Alligator mississippiensis: one gene and its partners. The protein of the gene in region 1 purifies or fractionates together with the protein of each later gene. This does not show direct contact. Links are inferred from orthologs where the notes say so. Each region holds a gene or a part of one and is shown on either strand. Other genes may lie near its edges. The genes, in order: CDC37, YES1, FGFR3 and CLK3.

The links.
Region 2: the proteins of CDC37 (region 1) and YES1 purify together in Homo sapiens (affinity purification with mass spectrometry; 3 studies listed by BioGRID and IntAct, counting the BioPlex papers as one, with this or other methods). This does not show direct contact. The link is inferred for Alligator mississippiensis from reciprocal best matches to the Homo sapiens genes CDC37 and YES1.
Region 3: the proteins of CDC37 (region 1) and FGFR3 purify together in Homo sapiens (affinity purification with mass spectrometry; 4 studies listed by BioGRID and IntAct, with this or other methods). This does not show direct contact. The link is inferred for Alligator mississippiensis from reciprocal best matches to the Homo sapiens genes CDC37 and FGFR3.
Region 4: the proteins of CDC37 (region 1) and CLK3 purify together in Homo sapiens (affinity purification with mass spectrometry; 4 studies listed by BioGRID and IntAct, counting the BioPlex papers as one, with this or other methods). This does not show direct contact. The link is inferred for Alligator mississippiensis from reciprocal best matches to the Homo sapiens genes CDC37 and CLK3.

Annotation. Positions count from the first base shown.
Region 1 is NC_081831.1:22,389,139-22,396,653, forward strand, and holds the start of CDC37 (hsp90 co-chaperone Cdc37), read right to left. Parts: upstream 3,020-7,515; 5' UTR 2,950-3,019; coding exon 2,848-2,949; intron 1-2,847. UniProt on the Homo sapiens protein: Co-chaperone that binds to numerous kinases and promotes their interaction with the Hsp90 complex, resulting in stabilization and promotion of their activity. Inhibits HSP90AA1 ATPase activity.
Region 2 is NC_081826.1:89,119,770-89,127,643, forward strand, and holds the start of YES1 (tyrosine-protein kinase Yes), read right to left. Parts: upstream 3,001-7,874; 5' UTR 2,747-3,000; intron 1-2,746. UniProt on the Homo sapiens protein: Non-receptor protein tyrosine kinase that is involved in the regulation of cell growth and survival, apoptosis, cell-cell adhesion, cytoskeleton remodeling, and differentiation.
Region 3 is NC_081825.1:18,441,991-18,449,022, reverse strand, and holds the start of FGFR3 (fibroblast growth factor receptor 3), read right to left. Parts: upstream 3,018-7,032; 5' UTR 2,931-3,017; intron 2,807-2,930; 5' UTR 2,754-2,806; coding exon 2,573-2,753; intron 1-2,572.
Region 4 is NC_081834.1:41,769,304-41,776,858, forward strand, and holds the start of CLK3 (dual specificity protein kinase CLK3), read right to left. Parts: upstream 3,011-7,555; 5' UTR 2,957-3,010; coding exon 2,819-2,956; intron 729-2,818; coding exon 580-728; intron 1-579. UniProt on the Homo sapiens protein: Dual specificity kinase acting on both serine/threonine and tyrosine-containing substrates. Phosphorylates serine- and arginine-rich (SR) proteins of the spliceosomal complex.

The DNA of each region.
Region 1 (7,515 bases):
TCAGCAGAGCACAGGTTGAGTCATGTCTGGAGCTCAGGGCAGCATTTTCTGCTTTGGGAGCTCCTGGAGGGGGTGTAAGGCCAAAGCTTCTGCCTGCCACCCAAGGCCACTGGGAGTGCTCTACCACAACAGTCATGTGCCACAGCTTCAGCTCTGGTGCATATCACTGCTGAGGCTGGAACTACCTCAGCCAACGGGGTGTGTTCCCAGCCCTGGACACAGCTCCACCCAGGACAACACATGTGAAACACAACCTCTGCAGTGACCTGGCCCAAGCATGAGGCTCTGTTAGTCCCTAGGGCACGTGGGATGCTGCCGTTGGAGGTCATCTGCTAAACTGGGACCTGTTAAAAATACCTGGACTTGGCCCAGTGCCTCACTACACCCCAACCCCCAGGCTGGACTGCAGCTAGTAAGCTCACATTAATATCTCAAGCTAACAGCAGTATCTACAGCTATGGGGGCCAAGCTCCTTGGCAGGCATGCCATGCGTCACCCCTACGCCCTCCCCAAGTGCCACTGTGATCCCCTTCCCCTTCCTGATCTACTCCCTGCCCCACCTGCTGCTGCGCTGCCTGTATCCTCCCTGATCTGCCCCATGCCACAGCTTAGCCATCTCTGATCTAACCCTCTTGCAGAGGCTAGTGGAATCTTGAAAAATTAAGTCTCTTTCCTGCTGGTTCCCAAATGCTAGCAGCTGGGGAGAGAGATAGGGTTACCAGCTAAAGAACAGGTCTCCACCTAGAGAAAGATCCCTGGTTTGTCACAACAGAGCTCACCTGGGATATTCCTGGTGCTGTGTTAAGCCACTTCCCTCAGCAAGGACTGAGCCCTGTACCGCACAGGAAGCTTGGGGTTCTCTTCCAGGAGCTGCCACTGACCCACTGCAAGGACTCAGGCCTTGTCCAGGGGAAGCATCAGTTTTCCAAGCTCCCGCTTAGCTCATTTGGGCTCCCAAGTGCCCAGTTCCACTATTCCTTTGTACAGTTGCAGTTATCTACAGCCCCAACCTCCCCCTCTGCCAGCATTGACCCCAGCAGCCTCTAGTATCAAGGAACATGTCTGAGCCATGGAGAAGAGGCCAGAGGGGGACAGACACCAAGTGTCTACAACTGCAGATACACAGAGGCAGTCACAGACCAGTCGCGCACTGGTCTCTCTCCTCCCTTGTACTTCAGTCTCCCTGCCTGTACTATGGGTCTTTACCTGTAACTCAGGCTCCACATCGTAAGAACATATAACACTCCCATCCCTGTTGTTTTACCATGTGTCCATGGAACCTATTGGCACCTTTTCCTGTAGCCTCCACACCTGAGGGAGGCTAATAAAACACTTGGTGAGCTAGGCCCATGTTCTTAAAGGTGACAAATAGGCCTATGTCACACTGCAACGGAGAGCAGATGCTAGAAAGAAGAATGAACAGGGGTTTTCCCCACTGTTCCTCTCTTGCTTGCAGCCTCCAGCATTTAAGGCCTACGGAGTTTGGATTCAGAGGCTCACTCCTGTGCTCAGTCACGACCAATGCCCTTTTCCTCGAGATCTTACAAAGCAGCTGGGAAAAGAGGGGTCACCAGAGAGGCACTAATAGTGAGGCACTAATAGTGAGGCATATCCTTGGGTGGGGGAGAGGTCCAAGAGACACCCCTGAGCACGCACTGCTGCATGCAGTCCAATGGGGCCGGGCCACAGCCAGGGCTCGGGGCACCACTACTTTCCTGGGCTGGGCACATGGGAGGCTGATGCCATCCCCCACTATGCCAGAGATGCGCTCTGCGACACAAGCCAAGTTCCTCAGCCTCACAGCTCCCACCTGCACAATGGGATGGCAGCACTGCCCAACTGCATGGGGCTGCAAGGACTGACGCTGTGAGACTGAGGAGCTCAGGGGCCAAAGACAGACCACATAAGAGCAGCGTTGGCCCTTTTCACAGCTAACTGCAATGGTCAGTCAGCCAGGATAGCCAGGCCCCAGCCAGGACTGCCAGCTGGCACCATTCATTTGTGCTGGGCCGGGCCGGGCTGGAGGGGAGATGGAAATGACAGAGATGGTAGCAACTCAATTGAGCAGTGAGAGACATTCCAGGTTTGCTGGCTGACAGCACAGGCAAAGACCCTAGCCAAGGACTCTGCAAGGGTAAAGTGGACAGGCTGCCTCCCAAACCAGGCAAGATGAGCCATGCAGGGGGTAGGGCGCTGAATCAGGCAGCACCCTCAGGGCAGGAGCAACTCAGTCACAGCACTGACACAAGGGCACAGATCCTGGAGTTTCCTTGGGGCTGTGCATCTGCAGCCCCAGGAAGACCAGGCCTGTCCTGAGCTAGAAACACAATCTTGGGGTCAGGGGTTCTTAGGGGAGCCAGGCCCACAGAGAGGAGCACGTGGGACAGTGCAGAGCACAGCACCAGAGGAGCAGAGCAGGGGGGTGTCTGTTGGGATGGGGATCCCATGGGGAAGAAGTAGGGGGGAACCCTGAGGACAAGGATGAGGTGTGGGGGACACCTACAGAGTCTCTACAAGGCTGCCCCCCGGGCCTAGTTTCCGTGGAAATGGGTCTCCTCAAAGACTTGTCCCTGGGGGAGAGGCTTGTTCCTATGGGGACAGAATGTGACCCCTAGGCGGGGGCGGGATGGAGGCTGGCTCCCATGCAGACAGACCTCCCAGGGGGATTCCATGGAGCTAAGGGAGGGCTCCTGAAGGAGGAGACAGAGGATCTCCCCAAGGCCAGGCCCGGGACGGGGGTTCCATGGAGAAGGGGTAGGGCTCCTGGGGAAGCCCCCCAAGGCCTGGTGCGGGGGAGGTGGTTGCCATGCAGGCAACCATGGGGGGCGGGGGGAGCTCTGCACGCACCTGGTGCCGCCATCGGAAGAGACTGGCGGTGTCGATGTTGGGGTGCGTCTCATCCTCATCGTCCGACACCTCGATATGGTCCCACACGCTATAGTCCACCATGGTTGCGCAGGGCCGGCCCGCGCCGCTCCCGCCGGGCCCTTCTGGAACCCTCCAGCACCGCGCACGCCCACTTCCGCCCGACCTCTCATCACTTCCGCCAGCCCTCCCCGCTTTCCGTTCAGCAGCCCGTTTTGGCTTCCCCGGCGCCACTACGCACGCGCGCCGCTGCCCACCTTGTCTGCCCTGTGGGGAGCGGGTGCCTCCCTTTGCCGCGCATGCGGGCGGCCAAGAGGAGCATCATCCCTCCCCTCCCAGTTGCTTAGTGTGCTTGCATCGTCGTCCCAACTCAAGATGGCGTGGGCATTAAAGGTGTACACACCTCAAGTACAGTGTGATGGGAGGGCTTCCTTCCATGTGTCTAACGTGGTGGGAGAGGGAGGAGAGTCCCCGGATGAGGCACATGCTGGGATACCTCTCCAGGACACATGCGGGGAGGGGGAGGGGACCCCCCACTGCTACCCTCGAGGAGGGGAAGGACCCCCTGAGCTATGCACAAGTGGGGTGGGGCAAGGGATTGCCCCGCCCACCCCTCCTGCCATGCACATAGTGGGGGAGAGGAAAGGTCAGTGTGCCCTCCTCCCCCCTATTTTGGTGCTTACAGCCCCCCAGCCCTCATCCTGCTTTGGTGCTGGGGCTGGCCATGAAGGGCCTGGTCTGTGCTACTTTGAGGCATACCTAGCAACTGCAAGCCAGGAGCTCGGGGCTGGATCCTTCAAGGCTGGACATGGGAAAGCCTCCTGGCCTCACCCCCTCACAGCTACTGGCGCCTGCCATGAGGGAAACCTGGTGCCTGCAACCATAGGGGTTGGGAAGGGCCAACCCCTCCCCACTTGCATCCATGGCCAGAACCTTGCATGGACTCAGGACTGGTCCCATCCATTGCATTGGTTGTGGGGTTGCTCTGAGCCTTGTAGCCGCTGGCAGGGCGGAAACATGAGTGCAAACACATAAGTACACATGTTCCCTGCTGAAGGATCTCAGCCAGATATAGATTCCCCCCTGGCTGTCAGCAGCCCCCAAAGCTGGGGGGACTGACTAGGAATGGCTCAGACTCCAGGAAAACACCTGTGCCCAGGTCCTGAGTCTCTTTGGTGGTGTTTGAATTCTGTCTCCCCACCTCCAGAGGCTGGATGCAACCCCCAGCAGATTCCCAATGTTTTCCCCACTAGCTTGGTCCCCGCAGCTGCAGGTCACCCAGTTCTCTGCCCCACCAGCCCCTCAGTAAGGAGTGTAGGTTTAGCCATGCCAGGACTGTCATCGCTTCATCAAGGCTGCAAACAGCGCTGCCCACGGCCACGGAGCTGTTGCTTGGAATTCCAGCCTTGTACCAGCTCTGCACAGCCTGGAAACTCCTTCCACTTATAGTTTCATATTAGGTAAGGTCGGAAGGGACCTGAGCAGATCATCAAGTCCACCCCCCTGCCATGGGCAGGAAAGAATGCTGGGGTCAAATGACCCCGGCTTGGTGATTATCTAGCCTCCTTTTGAAGACCCCCAGGGTAAAGAAGACCCCTCCTTTTGAAAACTCCTTTTGAAGACTCCCCAGCTCCATGCTTGGGCTCAGTGGGCCTTGATGCAATGATATCTCAGAACCAAGGCCTGAAGATGGATCCCTTCATGGCCTGTGACTGCGATGGAATATAGGACACAGAATGGGTGAAAGGAGCTGGAGGAGATTCCTCCTGCACCAGAGGTAGCTGCATGTCAGGGTGGTGGGCAGCATGGACTTCCAGTTGGGTCCAAAGCCAGCAATGCTGAGTCCCTGCTTCATTCCACGCTCCCAAACCCCCTGGATCAAAGCTCTCTAGCCCTGGCCCTGTGATGAGACCTCACTCCCTGACCTGCTCTTCCTGGCCAGGCTGCTCTTAGAGATGCTTCCAGAGCTCTTAACTGTCTCCCAGGCAGCCACGTGGAGGAGCAAGGGAGGCCTGCAAATCCCACATCCCCAGTACCATCATCCAGAGCAGCAGCCAGGGCCAAGCTAGGGGATCTTCCTGCCCAGGGTGATGCTGCAGTGGCCCTCAGTGCCCCCCAGACAGATCTATACCCCCTCCATTGCAGCAGTGGCCCCCTGCACTTGGTCACTTCCTATCATGCTTCCTTCCCCCTCCCCCGAACCCCAGCAGAACTTTGTGCTGTTTCAAGGATCTGCAGACCAGGCAACAAATGCTGGCAGATCCCCCTTCCCCAGGCTCCTGTTTTTTGCCATTCCAGACCTTCCCCAGCACAGCCAGGCCAGTGCAGGGCTGCAGCTGAGCTGGTGTCTGTCCTGCTGCTAGCAAAGGCTGGTGCCAGGCCATGCTGTGGTGCATGGGCTGTGTGCCAAGGCAAAGGCCTGGCATGGCCAGGACAGAGCCTAGGGGAGCAGGCAGGTGGCAGGAGCATATGGCAGAGGCCATGGGGAGCCAAAAGGACTGGAACAAGGCCTGCCAGTGGTGAGCACTACCCTGCAGCCACTGAGGCCTGGCTGAATTGGTGGGGGTGGGGCAGTTCAGACCTGCCACTGCCTCCCTGCATGGCTGTGGCCACATCCCCTGACTCCTGCAGGTTGCAGGTGTGACCTATTGGGTGGCCTTTCCCTCCCCCAGGCTGGATCCAGATGCAGCAGGGCTGCTGCAGCACGGTGTCTCTGCCAGGGACCCCACAGACCTTGGTATGGCCTGCCTCTTGCAGGGCCTGTGCAGGGCCTGGCACCATCAAGGTACTACCAGGGCAGGCCTCCTGTTGACAGCTCTGTGACCTGATCACAAGGCCGTGGGAGAGAGTGGAGAATCAGATGGGGAGGCAGGATGCCTGGGTTTTGCCCCTGCCCTGTGGGGTGACCCCCCTGCCTGCCCCCCCAATCCCAGAGCCTCAATTTCCCAGCCTGGTCTGTGTCTGGCAGCTGTACTATGTGGGCTGCTGGTCTGGTGGGGAGTCTCCCCAAGTTTGCATGGTCCATGCAGCCCCATGGCTGGGAGGAGCATCTGCTCTTCACCCCAGTGGGCATCCCCAGGGCCCTGGGGCTGGAGGGTGTTAGTATTTCTGCTTCCATTGATTTCCCCTCCCCCCACCATGGTCCAGGGTGTGGTGCAAGCTTGACTGCCCTTGACATGTTGCCCCATGGGACAACTGCCCTGGCTGCAGCTGGCTCTCAGGCAGGAAGTAAGTGGCAGCCCCCAAACCCCCTTCCAAAGTAGGGGGAAGAGGCAGGGAAAGACAGAAGGGCTTTCCTTCAGAAACCCAGGCCTGGGACCCCCAAGCCCCAGCCAGCATGGGGCTAGTGGCCATGAGAGCTCGATCCCAGCCCCCATCCTGTCCCTGGGAACTGGGGGAGGATGAGTTAGAACAGCCCCGATGCTGCTCTAAGTGACACTCAAGATGTCGAGGAGCCCCGGGGGAGGAAGAGATGCAGCCAGAACCCAGACCCGGCCCCCAAGCTGCGAGGGGAAGAAGGGAGCGACCTCGGGTGAGAGAGGCAGGAATGGAGGGGGGTGCAGGCAGGGCCGGGCTGTGAGGGGCGCCGGGCTGGGCGTAGAGCAACCCGCTGTGCGCCTCGGGGAGACGGTCCTGCCCCCGCTCCCCCGCCCCGGGGAACCAGCGCCGGCGGCTCCGTTCACACGCTCTGGCCGCTGCCCGCTGCTCCTAGCGCCCAGCACTCGCTGGGAACCCTGGCGTCCGGGGCACGGGCACACACACCCCCGGGGAACCCAGGCGTCCGGGACATGCTCACACACACGCAACCCAGGCGTCCGAGACAGACCCCCCACCCCCGGGAACCCAGGCGTCCGGGACACACACGTCCCCTCCCGGGGGAACCCGGGCGTCCGGGGCACGCACGCACGCAGACAAACACACACACACGCGCGCACGCATACCCGGGGAACCCAGGCGTCCGGGGCACACACGCGCACACACGCGCGCGCGGGGAACCCAGGCATCCAGGGCACCGCGGCGGTGCCTGGATGGGAGGGCGGTGCGCGGCGCCCCGGCCCGGCGAGGTAAGGGGCAGAGCCGAGGGCGGGGGGTCCTGGGGGCGGACCGCAGCCTCCCCCCGCCCGGGGCCGCTGGGGGGCTGCTCCGGGGTTCGATGCTGCGGCAGCGCCTGCGAGTCTGGCATCCGCAGGCGGCTGTATAGGGGGAGCCCGGCTCCGGCTCCAGGTCCCTCCGGCCCTAGCGCTGGAAAAGGCAGGGACTCCAACTCCGCGGGGAGGCGGCACAGGATGGAGGCGACCACCACCTCGGTCCCTGCCCGGCTCCCCCCACGCGGTGCCAGCCGTCTGCGGAGGCCAGGCTGGGGCCAAAATCCGGCCCGGAGCAGGGGAGATGCGGGTCTGAGGTCGTTGGGGCCTTGGGTGGGCCCCCTCCCTCGGGGGTGAAAAGGGTTAACGCCGCACCCTAACATCACCCCAGTGGGGTAAGACTCGGCCCCAGTTGGGAGGAAGGTCTTCCTACCTCCACCTGCTGCTCCTGCCTCAGTTTCCCTTCATGGGGGTCCCATGCTTGCCTGATGGGGCCCAGCCTGGATGGCTATGGGTCAGTGGCATGGGTGGGGAGCAGGCAGGCTCATGGGGGCCTCGGGCCTCC
Region 2 (7,874 bases), on another chromosome or scaffold:
AAATTTATTGCTAAGGTCTTGCTTTTGTCCAAAGACAAATAGAAATGTATAGAGCAGTAAAGTCATGCTACCACTTAAATGCCAGTTTATATAACCAGAGCTTGTTTTATAGTTTGTCACAAAATAGACATTTGTACACTAGTCACGTGACAACACACATTTACCACAGTGGAACACAGTGAATAGTTTTGATTTACTCTCTTGGAGATGCTGGAAGTATATTGCATATCAAAATAAAGAAGGTTCTATTCTAGAGCATAAAACGTTGTATTGTTTGTTCTGTTACATGAATATGGGTAACAATACACTCAAAGCCCTCCTGGTGTGTTAAAGGAATAGACTCTCTTGTAGTTTTACATTATTTTGGTACATGACATGGCAGGTAAAAACTGGCATCTGACTAACTACTTTAACTTAGTACCTTCTAACATACTACACCCCTGCAAAAGCAGTATTTTTTCTGAGCTATATATAGGGTGACCATATGTCCTGGTTTAGCCTCTGAAATCTGGAACTGTCCTGGCCATCTCAGCGTCCTAGCCATTGGAGAAAGTTGAAGCAAAAATCCCAGATTTGTGCAGACTGTCCTGCTTGCCTCCTGACTCAGAAGCCTGGCACATGTGGGCAGCTTTGTGCCAACATGGAACTTTTGCTTCAGTTTTCTCCAAGGAGCCCAGACAATGGGCTGCTCCCTGGTCTGGACTCCTCTGGGCTGCAAACAGTGTTGCTTTAACAGTAGACTTGGGGTGGGGAGGAGAGGGGAAGGAGCCACGCCACAGGGGGTGGGTGGGTGTGGGTGTGTGTGTACACACCATGCTGTCCTGCATGGTCCCGCTCCTGGGAGCTGTGGGGTTGCAGGGGGCATTTCCCCCCGCTCTGGATTTCTCTGAAATTATTATAGTTACACTAGCTATATACAATACATAAAATAATCTGACCGTTCAAATATATATTTTTACACACACATTTTTCCCCTAGAAGCCAAAATCCCATTTTGGTAGAAAATACTATGCAAAAATAATTGAATAAATTCTACTTTATAATAAGAAATACAAATTAAAGGTATTTAAGGACTAACTGTGTTCCCGCTGAAGGGACTGTGAAAGCAGGATTTGGGCCTAAATTGATGGAAAGTAATGAAAACCAACAACCAAAGACGCATAACAATCAGTTTCTGCCTTTTATCCCAGGCTTTTATTTTTCCCCTTCTGTAAACGTGTTTACTGTAGTCTTTTGCTTTGGGGAGAAAAATAATCCCTTCTGATCCGTGTATTATACTTCATTCATGTTGCAAATACTGTCTCGTTAGTACTAAGTACTAAGGCCCTGACTCCGCAAAACTTAACATCCCTGCTTAGTTTTGTGAATGTGGACTCATTGGACCCTACTTTTAAATGAAGTTACACATATGCTTAAGCTTTTGCAAGACTGAGGTCCAAGTTATATTGTTAACTAAAGGAGTTGTTTTTGAAATTTACAAAACGTGAAGAATTTATGAAAAAGCACTATGTTAACGTTACAGAACTTGGGGGAGTAGTACCCTAAAAAGGACACCTTGCCTAATATTTAATTAGCATGGTATATTTGAATAAATCACTCTCTAGAACAATATTCTACTCTACCCAAACAAAGCAAAATGGTCCATATCCCTGGTCACAAAACATGTGGAGTTGGAATTACCGAAATAAATACAACGGTATGCACTTGTTGCCTAAGGTGTACAGCCTATAGCCCCCAGCCTGCTGGTATTCACTCCCGTGCAGAACTCGATGGACCATGCATCAATAGATGACTACTCACAAGGTGCAAAGTCAAGTACATGTCTCCACAAGACTGAGGGCCTACGCTTTCTCCATCTGATTTTTTTCAAAAACAAGCAGGCTCCACAAAGGGCAACTACTGCAAACGTAAACCTGTAAGTCACTGCGCCCCCGATAGACGAGCTTTCGAAGGCAAGAGATCTCGTAATGTGGACGTTCAACTATCTCAGCCAGGTGGCTGGTCTGAGAAAAGGCATGGTCCTAGAGATGCCTTGCCTCTCGGATACAAGTCGCCACAAGGAGAACAGAGGGGAGCACAGATGCATTACCGGAGGAAAGCAGGGACACCAGGCTACAGAGGACTGGAAAAATGCATTTCCCTGATGTCTGCCTTTTCCAGCACTGCTGGGACAGAACAGGACGCTTTTACAGAGAGCTGCCTTCGCCTCCCGGGTCAACCGAGGCCTGAACCCGTCACATGAGGGCTGGAAGGGACATTAATCCCACCCCCCCACTCCCCTCCTCCAAGCAGGACCAGACCCCACTGCATCATCCCCACCAAGGCTTTGTCTTAAAAACCTCCAAGGATGGAGATGACACAGCCTCTCTGGGCAGCATGTGCCAATGCCTCCCAGTCCTGAAACCCACACGCAGCACAAGCGACCAAGGAAGACAGACAAAGCCGGGGGAGGGGGGAGAGGCAAAGAGCAAAGCTCGCCCCAGGCGCGGGTGGGAGGGACACGCAGCTGGGCCCCCACCCACCCAGCGCGCACAAAGCGAGGAGGCGCGGCGCCTTCCCTCAGCCCAGGCGGGCGGCGCGGCTCCCCACCCCCCACGCGAGACGGGGCCGCCCCGGGGGCCGCCGCGCCCCGCACCCCCCAAAAAAAGTTCCCCGCAAACTTTCCTCAGAGCCAGGCGCCCCCGCAGGAGGGCGCGGTGTGCGGGGCCTAGCGCCGCCGCGGCCTCCCCGGGGAGCGGGGCCTCACCTGCAGCTGCTCTGGCCGCTGGGTCGAGGAGGAAAGGCCGCGACCGGCTGGGCTGGGCTGGGCTGTGCACGCGGGGAGCCGGCCGCTCCGCTCCGCCAGCGAGACAGGGAGCGAGGGGCCTCCCCGCCTCCTCCCGCTGCCGCCGGGCTCCCCGCACCGTGCGGCGGCGGGGAGGGGTGGGGCCGGGCCGGGCCGGGCACGGCGCTCACACCCTGTTCCCGGCAGGCGGCGGCGCCCCTTCAGTGCGGCCCGAGCGCAACACGCCGGCCCAACATGGCGGCGGCCGACGCGCGGGGGAGGCTCTCGTTCGCCCGGCCCGGCCCGCAGGGGGCGCTGCTCCTGCCCGAGGGCCCTGAAGGGCGGGGTCGGGCGGCGGGCGCTTGCCTGCCTCCCGCTCCCTGGGGCCGGGGAATGGCCCCGGGATTTGGCTTAGGGTTGGTTTGGGATAGTCCGGGATTGGCCCGGGAATCATCCAGGATTGGCCCCAGGACACTCCGGGGTTGAGGATTGGCCCCAGGTAGTCCAGGATAGAGGATTGGGCCTGGGATTGACTCTAGGGCTGGCCCTGGGTAGTCCAGGATTAGCCCTGGCACAGTCGGGGAATGGTTTTGGAGTCCAGGATTATCCCTAGGGAGTCCAGGATTAAGGACTGACCCTGGATTGGAGTGGCTCGGGAATTGGGGCGACCGCCCCAGGCTCCACACTTTGGGGGGGGGCCCCGTGACCCATGCTGTACAGGCCTTGCGGGCAGTGCCATTGGCACGTGCTGAGGCCACCACCACTCTGCGTGGCCACCATGTGCCACTAGCTCTGCGCTTCGGCCTCTCGCCATGTCTGGCCCCTGCACAGGCGGATATGCCCCAGGCCCCGCACACCTTTAGGGTCGGTTCTGTCCGGGCCTGTCCCCAGGTAGTCCAGGGCCGGCCCTGGCACAGTCTGGGATTGGCCCCAGGGTAGTCCAGGATTGAGGACTGGCTCTGGGGCAATCCAGGATTGGCTCAGCAAGAAGACTTTCAGAAAACAGATTTGAAATCCTTCCCCCCCACCCCAGGCTCTGTCAAGAGAGTGGCTTGCGCAATAGCTGTAAATTGAGTCCCTTCCGAGGGAGTCTCCAAATGAGTAAACCTGGGCAGATGTGCAAGCTTGCTTGCTTGCAAGTTACCTTTTAAAATTTGTTCAAGTGAGGCAAATGAGACCACTGGGGGATAGAGGGGGAAGCACTGGAGTTCTCCTTCTGCTGTGTTTTGGACACTGCTTGCAGCCCCGGATCCTGAACTAGGGACAGTTCAGATGGATATCACAACAGTAGAAGAGCTCAAGATCATGTAACATCCAGTTCTACACCACCCAGTTTCCAGTGACCTCAGGCTCATGAATCAGCATTTCACATTTACAGTGATAACTTTGCAAGGAAGGAAGTCTGCCACAAAGGAGAGTTGAGAGAGAGAGTTCACCTGCAAATGCAGCTAACCTTATGATCACAAAACACAAGAATGAGAAAAAAGGAAAGCTTATAAACCAAAGGTTTCATAGATTCATAGATTCATAGATGTTAGGGTCGGAAGGGACCTCAATAGATCATCAAGTCCAACCCCCTACATAAGCAGGAAAGAGTGCTGGGTCTAGATGACCCCAGCTAGATACTCGTCTAACCTCCTCTTGAAGACCCCCAGGGTAGGGGAGAGCACCACCTCCCTTGGGAGCCCGTTCCAGACCTTGGCCACTCGAACTGTGAAGAAGTTCTTCCTAATGTCCAGTCTAAATCTGCTCTCTGCTAGCTTGTGGCCATTGTTTCTTGTAACCCCCGGGGGCGCCTTGGTGAATAAATCCTCACCAATTCCCTTCTGTGCCCCCGTGATGAACTTATAGGCAGCCACAAGGTCGCCTCTCAACCTTCTCTTGCGGAGGCTGAAAAGGTCCAATTTCTCTAGTCTCTCCTCGTAGGGCTTGGTCTGCAGGCCCTTGACCATACGAGTTGCCCTTCGCTGTACCCTCTCCAGGTTATCCGCATCCTTCTTGAAGTGTGGCGCCCAGAATTGCACGCAGTACTCCAACTGCGGTCTGACCAACGCCCTATAGAGGGGAAGTATCACCTCCCTGGACCTATTTGTCATGCATCTGCTGATGCACGATAAAGTGCCATTGGCTTTTCTGATGGCTTCGTCACACTGCCGGCTCATGTTCAACTTGGAGTCCACTAGGACTCCAAGATCCCTTTCCACCTCTGTGCCACTAGGACTCCAAGATCCCTTTCCACCTCTGTGAGGTTTCCAGCTTCACATGTACAAATCAGTCTCTCTCAGGAGTACTTATTTTCAAACCTAATTTATACGTGTATTTGTACTTGCAGTATCAGGCCAGCATTTGTTTCCAAAGTTGAAGGTGCTGTAATAATAAGCATACTAATTCACTGCTAAGTATTTTTCATGTTTTAAATAGATGATCTTGTGATTTACATTGTATTGTACACCAATACAAATTGTATGCCAGTTGTGGTATACAATTGCAACCTGTGATTTCAAACCAATGTGAGTGCATAGTTTGTTTATATCACACCCTTCCCATTTGTATCAAGAAGCAGTTTATAAAATAATAGTATGAAAAGCAATTTGACATGTTGGAATGAAACATTTCCTCAACATATATTTCATCCATCTGATCTTTTTAAAATTAGTTGAATCTTTCATTTATGGTAACTCTCCCTCAAGTATTCACATCCTATATATAGAATTGATTTTTAATTAACGAGAATAAGATTGTTTTACAGACTCAATTGCCAATGACTGATTTAAGGAGTATTCACAGCCTGGTTAAAATTCTGGTCTCGTTAACACAAGTCAGTGGAGTTAATTTTGATTTACACTGGAGTTGAATAAGAACAGAATTTGGCCTGAGGGCTCAACTGTATGTTTATATAGATGGGCAACCATTGCTGCATAGTTAATTTTACAGAACAGACACTAGGGCAAACTTACATATCTTAAAAAAGACCAAATCTTAGATCTTCTTAATACAGATATCCTTAGCATACACTTCAGAATAATTTTGTCTTGGTGAATATTAGGATTAAGCTAAAGGAGTGCATTGGCTTTTGTGAACTCTTGTAGTTTGAACATAAGATGTCAGGGGTGAGGTAACTCGATTATGGTATGAAAGCAGTTCTATTAATTCACCCAATCATGGTGAAAGTTCCTCATTATTGGAAACTTGGTCAAAAGACTCAGATGCTCAGTGCATCCTCCCATGCATTTTGATGACCATCACCCCTTAAAATGAGAATAAGCATTTTGGAGGAATTCTCATAGTGTAAATTTAATAAGGTTTTGAAAACCTGGCCTCTGTTTTTAGATGCACAGCTGGATATATGGCTATATAAACATATACAGATACATGTACATACACACATACCTGGTAGATGCAAAAATACAGTATTTGTTTCTGCATAGTTATCATATGCAAATATCACATATACAAAATACGTAAAAATAGACTTTTTAAAATTAGCCCAATTTTTTCTGGGTTTTATATTTAAATATGTAATTACATATTTATACAATGATTTTTAAAAAAATTTAGGTTACTTAATTGAAGGACTAAATCGTCTAGACACTTTTCCAATACAAATGATAATGAAGGCATAAAGTATGTCTCTGAGGAAGAGAAAGAGCAGAAAAAAACAGAGAGGAAATGTAGAAAAAGATGAAAGGTCACTGATGAGTGACTAAGGAAAAAACATCCATTCTGAGATTTTGAAAAATAAGAGTGGGTTAAATTTCTGAAGCAGTTTGGCAGAAAATTCAATTCATGAAGAAATTAAAACACATTACACTTTATGCACATAGGGAACATTTAAGGATCGTTTTTGAAAACAAGCATTGAAAACAAGGAATAAAGATGTTGTTTTAATGGTACCAGAATGATGTGGGCACAAACATCTTCAAATATTCTTTTTAGCTTACCAAATACAGCTCCAAAGTGCTATCTAAAAATCAGGCCTTGAGTTTTTAGTTACAAATTAAAGCTTTGTATTTTTAAATGTTTTGATAATGATATATATAAACCTGATATAGAAGATCCGTTGGATCTTGTGACTACTTAAAAGTGCCAGTGTGCACTTTAGAAAAAATAATTAAAATGTTATCAGGATATTTTCCTGGGAAATTCTGTTCCATGGTATTTTGTGTTTAACGATGTGCTGTTTATTAGAGATTAACAGGTTTTTCATGGTATTTGCAAAATAATTAAGTACTTTTTCTTTGAAATAGTTAAAAGCAGAATAAAAATTGAAAGGAATCCACAGCATTTTCCTGAATGTAGATGTACAGCCTTGGAATCATAGATATTGTTTTGTATTGTTTGGATTCTAAATGTATGAATATTATGGTTATATTTATAAAGTGTGAAAAATACTTAAATATAGGAACAAATATGCCACAACATTTCTGTTGGCAACTGAATCCAAAAGACATTATGCCCAGTTTTCCTCTGATATAATGACACTGAAGAGATGAATAACTCTAGAATAAGAGCAGCAACTACAGTAGGAGGCCTTATCCATACAAACATTTACTGTAAGCATGCATATAGTATTATTACTTGTGCTGTTATATCCCATCACAGCCTTGTTAATGATCAGGGTCCATTGTGTAATCACACAACAAAAAGATGATTCTTTGTTCAAAGAACTGGTCATCCCATTGACTTTTGCTTAAAATTACTATATTTACGCTAATCAAAGATGACATTGAATATAAGACAACCCCCCAATAAATAGCTTCTGTACACGGAAAATTTATCAATTTGTTATAATTTTTAATGTATATAATCTGATTTTGCAGGGTTGTCTCATATTTGTGCCCCCACCACTGCTGCTGGGCAAGCAGCTGCAGCAACATGGGAGCAGGCGGTAAGGGAGTAAAGTGGCTGGCTCCTGCTGTCTGTCCCTCTCAGCATTTGATCTCCTTGCAGCCTGTATTCCCCCTGTCTCCAGTGCCTGTGCACCCTGGGCCCAGCCCCTTTCCCACAGTGCCTGCCTCCCCCCTACCACTTGACCCTCCTTTCCCTCTGTGCCTGGCCCCCTGTAGTGCCTGCCCCTGCTCTTGCCTGCCCCACACAACATCTGCTTACC
Region 3 (7,032 bases), on another chromosome or scaffold:
ATACAGTTTCTTTTGCACAATCTTTTCCTCAACAGTGCCCTGCGCATTCAAACCTCGCCCCTTGCCCACAACCGACTGGACAACGGGACACTGTGACAAGCCAACCAAAAAGTTTTGCTAGGCATATTTCAGATCCTCTTCATTTGAGTGGCTTTCCACATGTGCATGTTCTACCAAAAATCAATCTGGTTTTATAGCCTTCGGGGCTGTTTCAGTAACACTGTGCACATCAAAAGTGCGCGTGTGTGAAATCTCTTTTCTTACAGAGGGAAAACTCTGAACTGCTGCAACTGACAGAGAAACACTTACAAATATGCTGTGCATTAGTGGAACAGAAGCACTTAGATCAGGTCAAATCCTGCTCACGCATATGGGAACGTTGGCACCAGCTTCAGTGGGATCAGAAACGTGCCATTACTTTGAAGAGCCAATATGGTAAAAATAGAACGCGTATGTAGACTTTCCACAGAAAATTTGGAAATTTTGGTTACGTCCCTGGGAGATGCATCGCCCTAGGACCATTCTTTTTAACCACTTCTCTCCTAGAAAAACCCTGAAAGACTTGGGTGTACACTATTTGTTGTATTTCAAATGTCATCTCAACAATTTCAGCACTCATTCTGCCTTACAGGACGGAGCAACACTGCTTCATTATAATACTGCTGTGGCCCCCAAATTTATAATCTGCAGATGCTCAACTCCAGGGGGCTTCCAACGAAGCTAGTGGAGACTTTCCAGATTTATCCTGGGGTTACGAAGAGCAGAATTTTGCGCATAAAAGCCAACCCTGTATATTTTTGGCCTAAAATAGGAAGAAAAATGCTGCCACTGAAATTCAGCAACCCCCTTGCTCAGCTTACTAGCGCACGCTTTTCTTGTTTCCTTTGCAAACCCCAAACTCATCTGCTTTGACAAAGTAGCTGTGATGCTGCACTATAAATCAATTCTTTTGGCTGTGAAAAATGAGCCAAACAAGTTACACTAAGAATCTGGTGTTTTATTAGTACTTTCTCAAAAACAAAACCAACCCCACGTGTGATTTATGGCCGTAACCAAAAGCGGGGGGGGGGGGGGGGGGTAGACAGAGTGCCCCCACCCCTAGCCTCCACGAAGCACATTTTTTTCCCCTGTCACTTTTTTGGCAAACATGCCTCAACCCTTTCCTGAACAATGGGAACTTTTTGTTTGGTGCAAGGAACCTTAAAAAAGAGTGAAGCAGGAGAGGCGACCTTCCATTAAAGAGCTTTGAAAAAATAAACAGACTCAGGTAGCAGCTGAGGCATATCAGAGAGACACCAACTTTAAACAGTCTCTCTGTTTTTAAACCAGTTTTTGTCATGTACCTTATCTTTCCTTACTCATGATAGAAACATTTTCATTCAAGGCAGGAGAAGTTAGTAGATTCCCATAAATATTTCCTCCCTTTCAACACGTTCGCAATCCAGTACATCCTCTTCAAAACCTCCTCTTAAAAAAATTGGGATAAAACAAGGGGTATCATAGTTCTAAGAAGCATCCATACACACACAAATGCTTGCCTCTCATTCAGTCTGGATTTCAAATGTGTGTCTGCAATCTGGATAAGCAAATCTCTCTGCTGTTGCAAACTCCACGTACAAGCTGTGCCATGAACCAAATCTGTTGATACATGTTGTATGTATGTGACTGCAGAGATGTAACAAAAAGTCCTCTAAGAAAGTGAGCTCAATTCTAAATCTATTCTCACTGGGTCATTCTAGCCCGGATAAGCGGGAAAAAAAAACAACTGCAGGACAAACTCTACCAAATAAACAAACGTCCTCCCGAGTCCAGAACAGAGCAATCTCAAGCACAGGGCTGCACTGTGGATCTAACTCGTATTTGAAGCTAAAGTTTCAGTTCTGACTTCGGAGTCTAAATGATCAACAGAACACTTTACCCCTTGCTTGTGGTCCGAAAGGTGCTTACATTTATGACTAACCTGGGATTTACTGTGTGCTGCGCTCCATCCATACAGATGAGCACTGGTTTATACGATCTGCCCTCCCATCACCCTACCAAGAACCGGCATACGTTCCCCTTTATCTTTGGCTGGCCTTTATCGCGCCGCGCGCTTGAGCAGCAATCCAGAGGTGCCGGCTGTCAAGTGAAAGTCTTGGAAACCTCTGGGAATGCAAAGAATCTACAATGCACGGCTCCAAAATGATACCTCTTATTAGACCGGCTGAGAGATTACAAAACATACATATATATATATATATATATATATATATATATTTTTGGAACCAAGATTTCTACATTTTTGCCTTTCTTTTCGTCTCAGAAAACCACCTACATCCCGGAACATTTCAAGTGGACAGTGGGCTTTGCCTCCCGAAAGCGGCGCAGGCGCCGGGCTTTGCTGCCCGAGTGCATGGGGGAGATGTGCGAGGTCCCTTGCAGCCCCAGCGAGGAAAGCGTCACCCTTCCCAGTTGGAGGGGTGGGGGGCGGGGGGGGAAGCAAGCTCGCCGGGGCGCCCAGCACCTGCCAAGCGCAGCCTGAGGGTGCAGGAGAGATCTGGCCCCGCACCGCCCCGAGCATCCTCCCTCTTACCCGTGGGCTTGCGGGTGCTCCTGTCCTCCGGGTCCGAGCCGGGCAGCGTGGCCGCCGGGCGGCTGCCGACGGTCCCCACCAGGTACACACAGAAGAAGGCGCCCCACGCAGCAATCATTCCTGTGGCCGCGCTCCCGGGACGCGGACTGGTCGCGGCGCTGCCCCCGCCAGCCTCAGACATCGCGGGGCCGCATGCTGGCCGCCCTGCCCGGGCTCCCGATCACGCTGCAGGCTCTGCACGGGCGACACGCGCGCGGCCCGTCAGCGGGCGCAGCACCCCCGGGCCCGCGGGCACCAGCAGGTGCAGCCCAGCCCCGGCCCGGCCCGGCCCGCCCCACAGCCCCGCACCGCCGCCTACCTGCCCCGCGCATGCAGGAGCCGCCGCCGCCGCCGCCACTGCTCGCTCCGCAGCCGCCGCGCTTGTGAGCCCGGCCGCCCGCAGCCCCACTGCCTGCCCCGGACCCCGCCCCGCGCTCCGCCCGGCCCCGGGGGAGGGTCCGTGCTGCCGCCCCGCCTGCCCCGCGGGCATCCCGGCCCGGCCCGGCCCGGCCCGGCTCCCTCGCTCCCTCCCTGCCCGCAGCGCACCTGGCTGCGCTCCCGCCCCTCCACCGGGGTCCGGCGTCCCCGCAGCGCCCACAGTCATGTGGGGCCGGCGAGCAGCGCCTCCCCGCTGTCCTTGCACCACAGCCGCCCTTTCAAGGCGTAGTTAAGATGATGGGGGGGCTCTGAACTAGAGACACGCGGGCTCCGCGGCAAGTTTTAGAGTCAGGAGGAGATCTGGGGGGAAATCTCCAAATGGGGACCTTTGCGTGCGACTGACACACGAATAGACACACCTCGTGATGTGGTTTAGGGACTCGGCGGGTCGTAATGCGTCGAGGCTTAATTTTGAGGGTCTGTAAGCAAGGCGGATATTTGTGGCAACATTTTTGGGACCCCTAAGGTGTGGGGCCCTGGTTTGCCCACCCCGAAGGCTGCTGGTAGCTGGGGGCGTTCGTGGGGCTGGGACTGCGGACCAAAGAAGGTATGGGTAGTCTTGAGAGCTGCCCCTGACACCGGTCAGGGACGGGGGTCCCCCGGTAGCCAGATTTGGGGTCAGGAAAGTATTTTACTCTGTGGTGGGATGGGTAGGGACTGTGGGGGTTTTGCCTAACTAGGGGGTGGGGGTGGCCCTCCACCCAGGACCTCTGCAGCCTGTGTTGACAGTGTTTCATAGGGGCAGGACGCTGGGTGTCAGGTCTGTGCTCTGTCAGGGTTGATGGTCCTCTTGTTCAGAGTTTAGATTATGGACTGCACGGGATGGTTTGGATAGGGCTGATCCTGCCTCAGGTGGAGGTTGGACTAGATCAGTGGTTCTCAGCCTTTTTTGTACCGGGACCCATGTGTAAATGCTGTGTGGGGCCAGGGGTCCCCAAGCAGCCCCTTGCAAGCTGGACCTCTGTCAGCCTGTGAGGGAAAACTCACAAGTTTCCCGTGTTTTTCCTCTTTAAAGGAAGATCCATTTTTAAAGTTTGTTTGTAAACCTTTCATATATTCTTGCAACCCACTTTTGGGTCGTGACCCATGGTTTGAGAAATGCTGGACTAGACCCCCTGGAGGTCCCTTCTAGGCCTACTTCTATGATTCTTTGATTTCTCCCCTCTGATCCCTTCTCAGCACCTTGCCACCGGTGTCCCAAAAGGAGACATCCATCCAGGGATTATAACAATCAGTAGCAAAGGGATTGAATTTGATGATCCTTGGTTCCTAACAATCTAAAGCGAATATTACGGCACGTGGCCACTTTGAGAGTCCCTTCCAAATGAAAGATGATGCTCCAGGTTTAAACGCGCCTCAGGTTCTTATAGGTGGGGTGGAAGGAGAGCTGAGAAGAGGAAAGAAAAGTTCTGGATGGATCTCCTCAAAATGACGACAAACATCCTTTGCAATCCTGTAATGCAACGTAATGTAATGCGATGTAACACACTAGCGGGGTTTGATGATTCATTAGGTAGTATTTCCACAGCAGGCTGGGTAGCTGCGTCTGTGGAAGTGCTAGTTTTCATCGTCGTCATTAAACAGGGACGATCCGTATTTTATCCATCACTGGATTTTCATGTACATCATTGCTAGAAATGTATGTACAGCTTACATCACACATTGTCCCTGAAGATTTCTAGCCCTGTGGTGCCTAAACAGCGGGTGGCATTATCTAAAATGTTTCATTATATTTTTAATGGGACGAGGGCAAATTGACAAAAGTGTTATTTCAGATTGCATTAAAGCAGTCCAGTAAACAGAAGCACAGACTCCAAGAAACCAGTTTTAAGAGACTCTATACTATAGAGCCGGGTTCTTTAGCATATTTCCCTTCCTCTGAACAACGTGAGGTTTTTCTGTCCAGCTTCTTCACCATGTGTGGAGATTAAAATTCATTAAAAATTTTACAGCTATCTCATCATCATCTAAGGCAATGCAACATACCTACAGATACAGCCAAGCTGACTCATTGACATGCACCATTTGCCATTAAGAGGTGATTCAAATTGTATCATACTGAGAATAAGTCATACTTCTGTCTTAATCCTCTTGACAAAGTAATTCACTGAAGGAGGGAGATGCAAATATTAGCACATCAGCCGAGAAATCCCTTTATCAGGGCAGCAATAAAGCGCTCTTGTGCTGGAGTAGTTCACCTCAGCCTGTGCGGATACAGGACATTGTCAGAATTATAAAAACCGAACGTGAGTGTTACAGCACGCGGCAGCTTTGAGAGTCCCTTCCAAATTAATGATGATGTGCCAGGTTTAGATCTCAGTGTAACTCTAGAGTGGCTCCTGGTTTCACTGGAATTACTCTGAGTTTGCACTGTTGTAACCGAGATGGGAATCTGTCTTGAAACCTTCATCAGTCACACAGACAGTGACATCTCAATATCGTGTCAGAGAGCATTGAGATGGGCCTGTGGCAAGGAAATCTGAGCGGAGACTCTTGAGTGACACAATCACTTCAAGTGAAAACAATGGGGGGAAAATCAGACGCATAACTAAGATGTGGTTAATCTACAGGCTCAACAATTGGTAAGATGAAAGACAGTTACTTTCACAGCGCTTGTGTCAGAGGTGGCAGAAAATCAATAATAATAAAGCAATTATAAGAATAAAAATAGCGCGTGGAGCAAATTTGGAGGTCGTTATCATTTTGAAGACATCCAGGCTCCTGTTTTTTGAAAACGTGATCTCATATTATTGTATTGCCAGTGCAAAGAAAATCAGAAGTTTACCCAGCATTAATTAATGAACCCTCACACTTCCTCTTTAATTATTATCATCCTTGTTCTATGAGGCAATGGAGACTGAGAAATTAAATGCCTTTCCTAAGCCACAAAGTGAGTCTAGAAGAAGCAGTAACGTTTCTCTTGCCTCTAGGTCTGTGCTCAGGATGCTAGGACGTGCTATCACATCAGGTGATGCCAAGTGCTTCCTCAACTTGGTGAAAATATGAGTGAATTTCAGGATTACCTCTTATGATTCCTAAGAGATGTAACAACCTAGAAATCAAATCATGTAAACACAACCCTTTAATGGGTCTGAACTGTTTTTCATTTGGAGCTTATAACATTTGGAAGAGCTTATGATACTTGGAAGCCCTTTACAAGAGGAAATTAAAGTGGGATTGAGATGGTTCTGTAAGAACTTCAAGGTTTGTAGCTTTCCCTAGAGTGGAATAGTTTAAGTTTTCCCTTTTATCAACTCCTGGCCCAGTGCATTCACATTGAACTGTGGAATACAGATCTGCTTAAATGCTGATTTCTGGAAGCTGGATCCCCACTGGTGGTAATTGTAATAGCTCCCAAGATATCATGTGCAGCAAAAACTCAGATTCTGGATTGTGTCTCAGCCATGCTCCCACTATAAAATCCATTTATGTGGGACTGTAAACACTACACAACACTGTTTGAGTTGATTTTTATGGTCATTATGCCATAAGGTACATACGAACCAGGTTAAGTACAGCTTTCACCTTAATTTTTTGGTACATTTGTCAGTGAAAAAAATCATACTGCAGGAGTGGCTGGCATTGCTAATTCTTTGTTTACTTTTTACCACTGAAGAGACTGCGTTTTCAGACTTCTCGTTAGGCTTATTGGTGACCTTGAATATCCCCAGCTGCATGGAAAAGCAATTCTCTTCCAGATGCTCTAGAACAATAGATGCCCTTTTTCCTTGTGAATATTTGATACGAGCGTACCTTGCTGTATTCTCAACATCGGATTCTGTTCACATTATGTTCGAACGACATATATGCTGCACTCTGTTCTGAAAGAGACTGTCCGTCTGCTCTCTAGAGAGAGCAACTTGTTCAAAACCCTAAGACAAGTTAGTGTCAAAGCACCAAGAAATTAACTCTAAGAATGACTGTCTCATCCAGTTAGCTCTCAGCTTTCCCCCCACTGCTCATTACTGAGAAAGGTAATTTAG
Region 4 (7,555 bases), on another chromosome or scaffold:
TACAACTTTCCCCATTTGCTAACTCTTTAGAGATGCAGAGAGGATTCAGGGGTAACTAAGCAGCACAAAAGTGTATAGTTACAAACACTTAAAGAACCCACACCAAGCCTATATGGAGATAGTCATGATGTAAAACTAAACAGCAAAGGTTTTCATCAGTTAAGGTGGTTTCTTCATCCAGAAGATCACTATTCAATGTAGTCCATATGAAAGAATAGCGAAGCTGGAGTAACTAATCTTTAACTGCACCTGAACAACCTTGTCCATTCAGCAAGTGTATTCTGCTGTGCATTAATCATGTCTTAGCTTTCCATGGACTTCAATCCAAGGTTAAGAATGAAAGCACAGCCAAGAAAGTGGCAAAACAAGAGTTAAAGAATGTAATATTAGGCTAGGTATTCTTCTGCTGTACCTGTAAAGCTGACAGGCCTGCACCTGTGCTAGGCATCTCATCTCAAACGCTCAGATGAGAATCAAAGGTTTATCCAAAAACACAACAGCCATCTAAGGCAGACACCTGCCCACTCCACAGCAACTGCTTAGAAGACAGTCCAAGCCTTTGATAAAGCCTGCTCTCACCTTCGAGATCGTGATCTCCTTGAAAGATCCCTGCGAGGTGGGTATCTCAATCTGCCTTCGTATTCTCTGCTGCGAGACCTCTTCCTCTTCCATTTGTGATTCATGTAGGTCTCTTGCTCCGGGGATCGGTATCTCTTACAGTGATGCATCTGGGGCGCAATAAGGAAGGCACTTGAGTAAAAGGTATCAACTGGAACAAACTGTTGACAGTTTGCAAGTCTCATGGAGCTCCCTACTTATTAACTAAAGAAGGTGAAAACAAAAAGCCATGAGGAGATGAGAGAAAGAGCAACAAAAGTCATCACCAACATTAGTAATTACAGTTATAAATAAAGAAGTCTCCGCAATGTGTGCAACAGCAGGGAACAGTTGCACATCACCCTTTTTTCCAATCTAATACCTATTAACACCTACTACTACTCCCACTGAAAAACAATCAGAATATTTTTCTGGATTTTTCCACTCTCCACTGAGATTTCACTTTTTCCCTCATGTATTCAGCTCTCACACCATTTGCAAATATTTTATAAGCTAGAGATATACAAAAGTATTTTAAGCAAATAGGACATGTGATTGTAAGAGTACAGGGGTGGGGATAAGAATCTGGAACTAATTTAACTCCATTTATAATGGGACTAAATTAAATCAAGTGTTCCTTTACTACAATTAAACTCGGTCTTGATCAGCAGACCAGATGGCCTTTGTGCAGACCTTCTTGCTTTTTCATCATTCGTTTGAACTCATCCTGTGTTAATAATGCCTGGAAAGCCAGCACTATCAAAAGACATGAAATTAAAAAACATGGTGGCTAGAATAATGGCCCAATTAATGGCCTGTGCCCCCATGTTCCTCTGTCCTGCTCCAATATCACTAACTAGAAATGCCCCCAAGAGGATTCCCGTGCAAGAAGAAATCCTCTGGTGGCGCAGAGCAGTCACGGTAGCTATTGCATCTGCCTTACTTGGGAGAAGTAAATCTCACAGAAAGGGATGTGGCCTGGATACACCTACACAAGGGATTCCTGGCAGCTTAAGCAGCCTTGTGCAGTTCATGCACGAGCAGATCTTCTGCTCTCACTCCACAACCCCGTCAGCACCACGTATCAGATGGCAACTGAGCATAGAAGTCATTTCAGGAAACCTGGATCCAATTTTGTTTGAATGTAATATCACAATTATCAGTTACGTTAATACCCAAGAAAAGAATGCAAACCTCTCAAACCAGCAGCTCAAGATTTAAGATACTAAACCTGTACTACAAAACTACCACGCATTAAAGAAAAAATGCCCACCAAAACATTGTTTAAAGAAAAATCCCATTGAAAAGTCAGTTTAGATTCAAACCCAGAAGTGTCCAAACTCAAATAGCATAGCACTGTTATAATGTAAATAGGCATTAAAATGAAACTACTGTCTGGGGCTTGTAGTTCTGCACCGTAGAAAATGAAAGTCAGTCAGATGCAGAAAGGTCAAACTTTGTTTAAAAGAAAAACACACGTCAGGATCCCTTTATGGAACGGCTTCTTAACCCGTGTCTCTCCGCTGCCTTGTATGGATTGTGTGGCTCTCTCCTGCTCCCTTATTTCTAATTCATTTGCCCTTTTCTGTCCACCTCCCCTTCAAAACATCCTCCCCTCTTTTCCTTCAGGGTGGATGGCCTTTACCAGCTCCTCATCACATATTTGCCCCTCAACCTTCGTTGGCCCCCATATCCAGTGAATGTCCCTCCATCGCTTTCACTAGAAAGCATCAGTTTTGTTCCTGCAGGCAGCAACAGAGGTGGGCAGTGGCCAAGCTAAGCCACTACCGCCTCACAAGCAAGCGCCAGCCAAGAGAGGGAAAAACTAAGCAAGTAATCCCCATGCCCACAGCCTTCCCTTCCTTTCAACTACATGACTCCCCCATCTTTTTGCCTGCTTCCTCGTTTGCCCTACGCACATCACAAACACAACCCAAATCACCACGTGCCAAAGAGGCTTCTAGTTTTTGCTTTGACAGACGCCAGCCAGCAGATCCATTTTCAGCGCAAAAAACCTTTTACGAGGCCTTAATCCTTAACACAACCCGCCACCGCGCACGGACACTTGATCCTGGCCTGGAAGCGCCAAAGGACTTTGACCCATTTGTATCCTTGACGTGGCCGAAAGCTGCTGAAGAGGACTTGGCTGCCAATCCAAAATTAAAGCCCTCCTGATCCCTCCCCACCACAATGACTTTTTACAGCGTTGGCAGCATCTCACCGCAACGAATGCCTCGGCCCTCCACAGCCAGGACCCGGCTCTGCTGGTGCAGGAGGGCTCGGGATGCGCAATCCTCATCGGTACCAACCCCTGCTGTCCCGCAGGATTGGTGCGACGCACGCACGCCCCTGGGAGCATACGCAAAGCCAGCCCGAGTTTGCTTTTGGCAGGCTGCCCAGGCCAGTCGTTTGTCTGGCAAGGGAAAGGAGAGCTCCCGTCGGCCCTTGAAAACAAAGGGGATTCCCCCCCTCCCGTTAAAGCTTGAGGGAAAAAGCTGCCCCCCCCCGCGGCTGCGGCCACGACCCCCCGGCCCTTCCCTCGCGTCCGCAGCTCGGCGGTCCGGCGGGCGCCGCGCCAAGGGACAAAACGGGTTCCGCTCTCGACCTTTTTAGGCCCCGAGCCCCCTGGGCAAGCGCCGCCTCGCTTCTCGGCCCCGGCGCCGGGCGGGCACATCCCATCCGCGCCGTGCCGCTGCCTCCGACGCAGGGGTTGGCGCCCTCGTTGCCCCGGGGCGCGGGAGGCGGCTCCAGCCAAGGCGCATGCGCGTGAGGGGAGATCCGCGGAGGGGGCCGCGGGCGGGGCGCTGCAGGGATCCTCACTTCTGCCGCCCCCCCACCACCCCCGAGGGCCGGATGCGGAGCCGCCCCCTCCCCCCACACTCACCGCCGCGCGCCCCCTCAGCGCTGTGCTCTCGGGCCCAGCCAGGCCCCAGCCGCTGCTTCCGCTTCCGGCTGTCGCCCCGCTCCGACGACGACGCGCAGTGTGCGCGCGCAACCGCCTCCTGTCGCTAGAGCGGCGCTTCCGGGGGCGGCCCCTTCCGCGCGGCGCTCTAGCCGCCTTCTTGCTGGGCTTGGAGGATTGCGGAGCTGGGCCCAGGGCCGGGGGGGGGGCGGTGGGGAGCAGGGGCAGCCCCTTAAAGGGGCAGAGCGCTGCCCTGGGTCACCCTTGGGGCTCCCCAGCACCGCACCTCCCCTCCCCTCCCAGCCCAGGGGGTCCCCAGACCCCACTGCCCCTCCCCCCAGTTTTGGATCCCCCCTCGCCTGCGGGCAGAGTCTCACTGGTCCACGCCCGCAGGCTCCCCGGTGTCCCCTTTCCTTGTGCTTCACCTGCCACCTCGCCCTGCTTGTTACCTGTCCCCCAAGCGCCCTTGACGCAAACCCAGGAGCCGTCCCCGTAAGGGCGGAGGGCAACCACTGTTCTGGGCGCAAGGCCCACGTGTCCCGCACGCGTCAACCAGGCCTCGTGACTGACCTGTGACCTCACTCCCGTCCCTCTTTTCTGCTGATTTGCCCCAAGAAATCAGTTCCTGTATCTAGCGGTCTCCCTTCTTCCTTCCCACCACCTCCCGGGGCCTAGCAAGCCGACCCCGCCTCTCGAAGCGTAGGAAGTTCATTTGGGAGGGACCTCAGGAGGTCACATCTAGTCCAACCCCGTGCTCCAAGCAGGACCAGCCCCAACTACATCATCCCAGGCAAAGCGTTGTCAATCCAGGCCTTCAAAACCTCCAAGGATGGAGATGTCACCACCTCCCTAGGTAACCCGGCCCAGTGCTTCACCACCCTCCTAGTGAGAGTTTTTCCCAATATCCAACCTAAACCTCCCTTGCTGCATCTTGAGCCCGTTGCTCCTTGTTCTGGCACCTGCCACCACGGAGAACAGAGGTCAGTTCTTGGTTCAATGGTGAGGGACGGCTTTGTCTCCTCTGCCCGCTGCCTGGTGTTGAAAATCATGCACGGTGGGGATCTCACGAAAGCAAGGGCAGAGAAGCTGACGGCACGGACCAAGACGTGTATGGTTTGTGGGTCGGTCAGTGATAGTCCTGTAGTGCTGCGACCTGCAAAGGGCAAGTGGGTGGGAAGACACGTGTGGGGCTTTGTGAAGAGGAAAACAGCAGTTAGTGTAGATTTGAGGGTATTCTCCTTAATGCTTGCTGCATGTTGGGGTGCCAACCCGCCAGGATTGCCCTGGAGTCTCCAGGAATTAGATATAAATCTCCAGGAGACGGCTGAGAGTCACCGGAAGATAAATGATAGGGCATTCATTGAAATAAATATATTAAATGTTGAATCTGATTTATACAGTAGTCCAGTGGGTTTTGAAAATGTAATAATCATGTGCGTTTGCCTTCCTGGCCTGAAGCCCATGCACCTTAATCTGTAACTGATATACACAAGCATGTGGGCACGCTCGTGTGTGTCACAGGCACGTTGGCATTTGGGAAGCCTCCCGGAATAGATTCAGAGTTGGCAACCCTACCTGGATGGTACTATCCAGTTGTGTTTTGTAAGGGTAATACACCAGTGCTCTTTATACACATTAGTGCGTAACGGTGGTTCTCAACCTTGTTAGACTCAAGGTCCCCCTCAGAAAGTGCACGCTCTTAGCTTTCACCCATTTTTGACTATGGAAAAATAATAGAGCAACTCTTCTGTGACAAGGGTGTAGGTTGCAGCCGTGTTGGTCTAAGAACATAGGCAGACAAGGTTCTTTGGGTAAATCCGATATCTTTTATTTGAGTTGTTTTAATAAAAGATATTGGATTTACCCAAAGAACTTTGTCTGTCTTCTATGAACTCAAAACGACCGTAGCAGCTCAGAATGGTTTTGAAGCTTTGGTTTCCTGTTTGATGCCTCTGCGTTTATCTTGTGAATCATGTTTGCCTGCCTAGCAGTGCTACATTGAGTGGCACTCCTGAAAGACTCTCCAGGCACCCCAAGGTGCTGCAGCACCCCGGCTGAGAATAATTGGTGCATACAGTAAATTCTGCTTTGTTGCGTATTGATTATTTGCCTACTTTCCAGTAGGTCAAAAAACATTTACTATCTCTTCAGTTAAACATCACCCAATTATTTACATAATGGGTTTTTTTTAGCATATTTTGGTTTATTGCATAAGCCAGGACTAGAAAAAGAAAGCCAAAGAGAAATAATGCAATGGTTGAGTAGAGCAGTACGAAAAAAGATTTCCTCTTGCAACAGATGACTTACCATAATGTTTCAAGATATGAAATATTTTTGTAATCTAGTTGTTTTACAGTGTATTTTACTTTTTTTGAGATACATTACACATGATTCCTTTCATTAACCACCCTATTGCCTATATAGGACTGTTCATTCAACGGTATGTCTGAGAGAAGGAGAATTGATCAGTTTTGTGTGAGGTTTCCTTATTCATTACACACGTATACCATCACATGTAGGCCTAAGATGTAAATGAACAGCAATTCCCATAGTATTTCATTTATTCAGCACCCAGTCTTTAAAACTGGACAGAAAAATGTATGGAATGACTTGCAGTTCAGTGCCACATTAGGATCAGGAATTATGTTATCTGTTTCTGTTGCTTTTTAATGTATTTTTTGCAATTTTTTTCTGTTCCATTTATTAGTGTAGTCCACTTATTTGTACAGTTTGGATGGATGAATGAGTACACAAGTAACAGAAACATACTGCATTTATTCTTGACATTTCACCAACTGTACCCATTTCAAACAAATTCAGAAGTCTTGGTTCCCTAAATCTAAAATCACCCACATCTTAGTCCTTAAAAAAGAAGCAGAGCTGGAGTATGGCATGTAGATCTGGAAAAGAGTCAACATCTGAATACATTCACACCCAGCTCTGCCACTAACTGATAGTGTGGGTTCAGGCAAGTCACTTAGCTTCAGCATTCCCATTTGTCATGTGGGTGCCATTACACTAAGGCAAAATCATTGGTGTAATTCTGTTGAGTTTGCTAAATTACAACAGGGATATTTTTGGCCCCATATTTCTATCTAATCTCATAGGCTTGTTCCATGAATCAGTGTTTGCTCCACAGATACTGTAGCTGGTCGGTAAAAGCTCAAGGTTCTTGTTCTTTTTCTACTGAGACTAAATAAAAAGGGAAAGGTCCCAACAGCCCACTGAGCCCAGTCATGACTGGCATTCAATTGACCATGCCAGAATTTGGCTAAAATGCCTTTATTAAATCCAAAGGCCAATAGCAGTTTCATAGATTCATAGATTCATAGATTCATAGATGTTAGGGCCGGAAGGGACCTCAATAGATCATCGAGTCTGACCCCCTGCATAGGCAGGAAAGAGTGCTGGGTCTAGATGACCCCAGCTAGATGCTCATCTAACCTCCTCTTGAAGACCCCCAGGGTAGGGGAGAGCACCACCTCCCTTGGGAGCCCGTTCCAGACCTTGGCCACTCGAACTGTGAAGAAGTTTTTCCTAATGTCCAATCTAAATCTGCTCTCTGCTAGCTTGTGACCATTATTTCTTGTAACCCCCAGGGGCGCCTTGGTGAATAAATACTCACCAATTCCCTTCTGTGCCCCCGTGATGAACTTAAAGGCAACCACAAGGTCGCCTCTCAACCTTCTCTTGCGGAGGCTGAAAAGGTCCAGTTTCTCTAGTCTCTCCTCGTAGGGCTTGGTCTGCAGGCCCTTAACCATATGAGTTGCCCTTCTCTGGACCCTCTCCAGGTTATCCGCATCCTTCTTGAAGTGTGGCACCCAGAATTGCATGCAGTACTCCAACTGCGGTCTGACCAGCGCCCGATAGAGGGGAAGTATCACCTCCTTGGACCTATTCGTTATGCATCTGCTGATGCACGATAAAGTGCCATTGGCTTTTCTGATGGCTTCGTCACACTGCCGGCTCATGTTCATCTTGGAGTCCACTAGGACTCCAAGATCCCTTTCCACCTCTGTGCCACCCAGCAGGTCATTCCCTAGGCTGTAGGTGTGC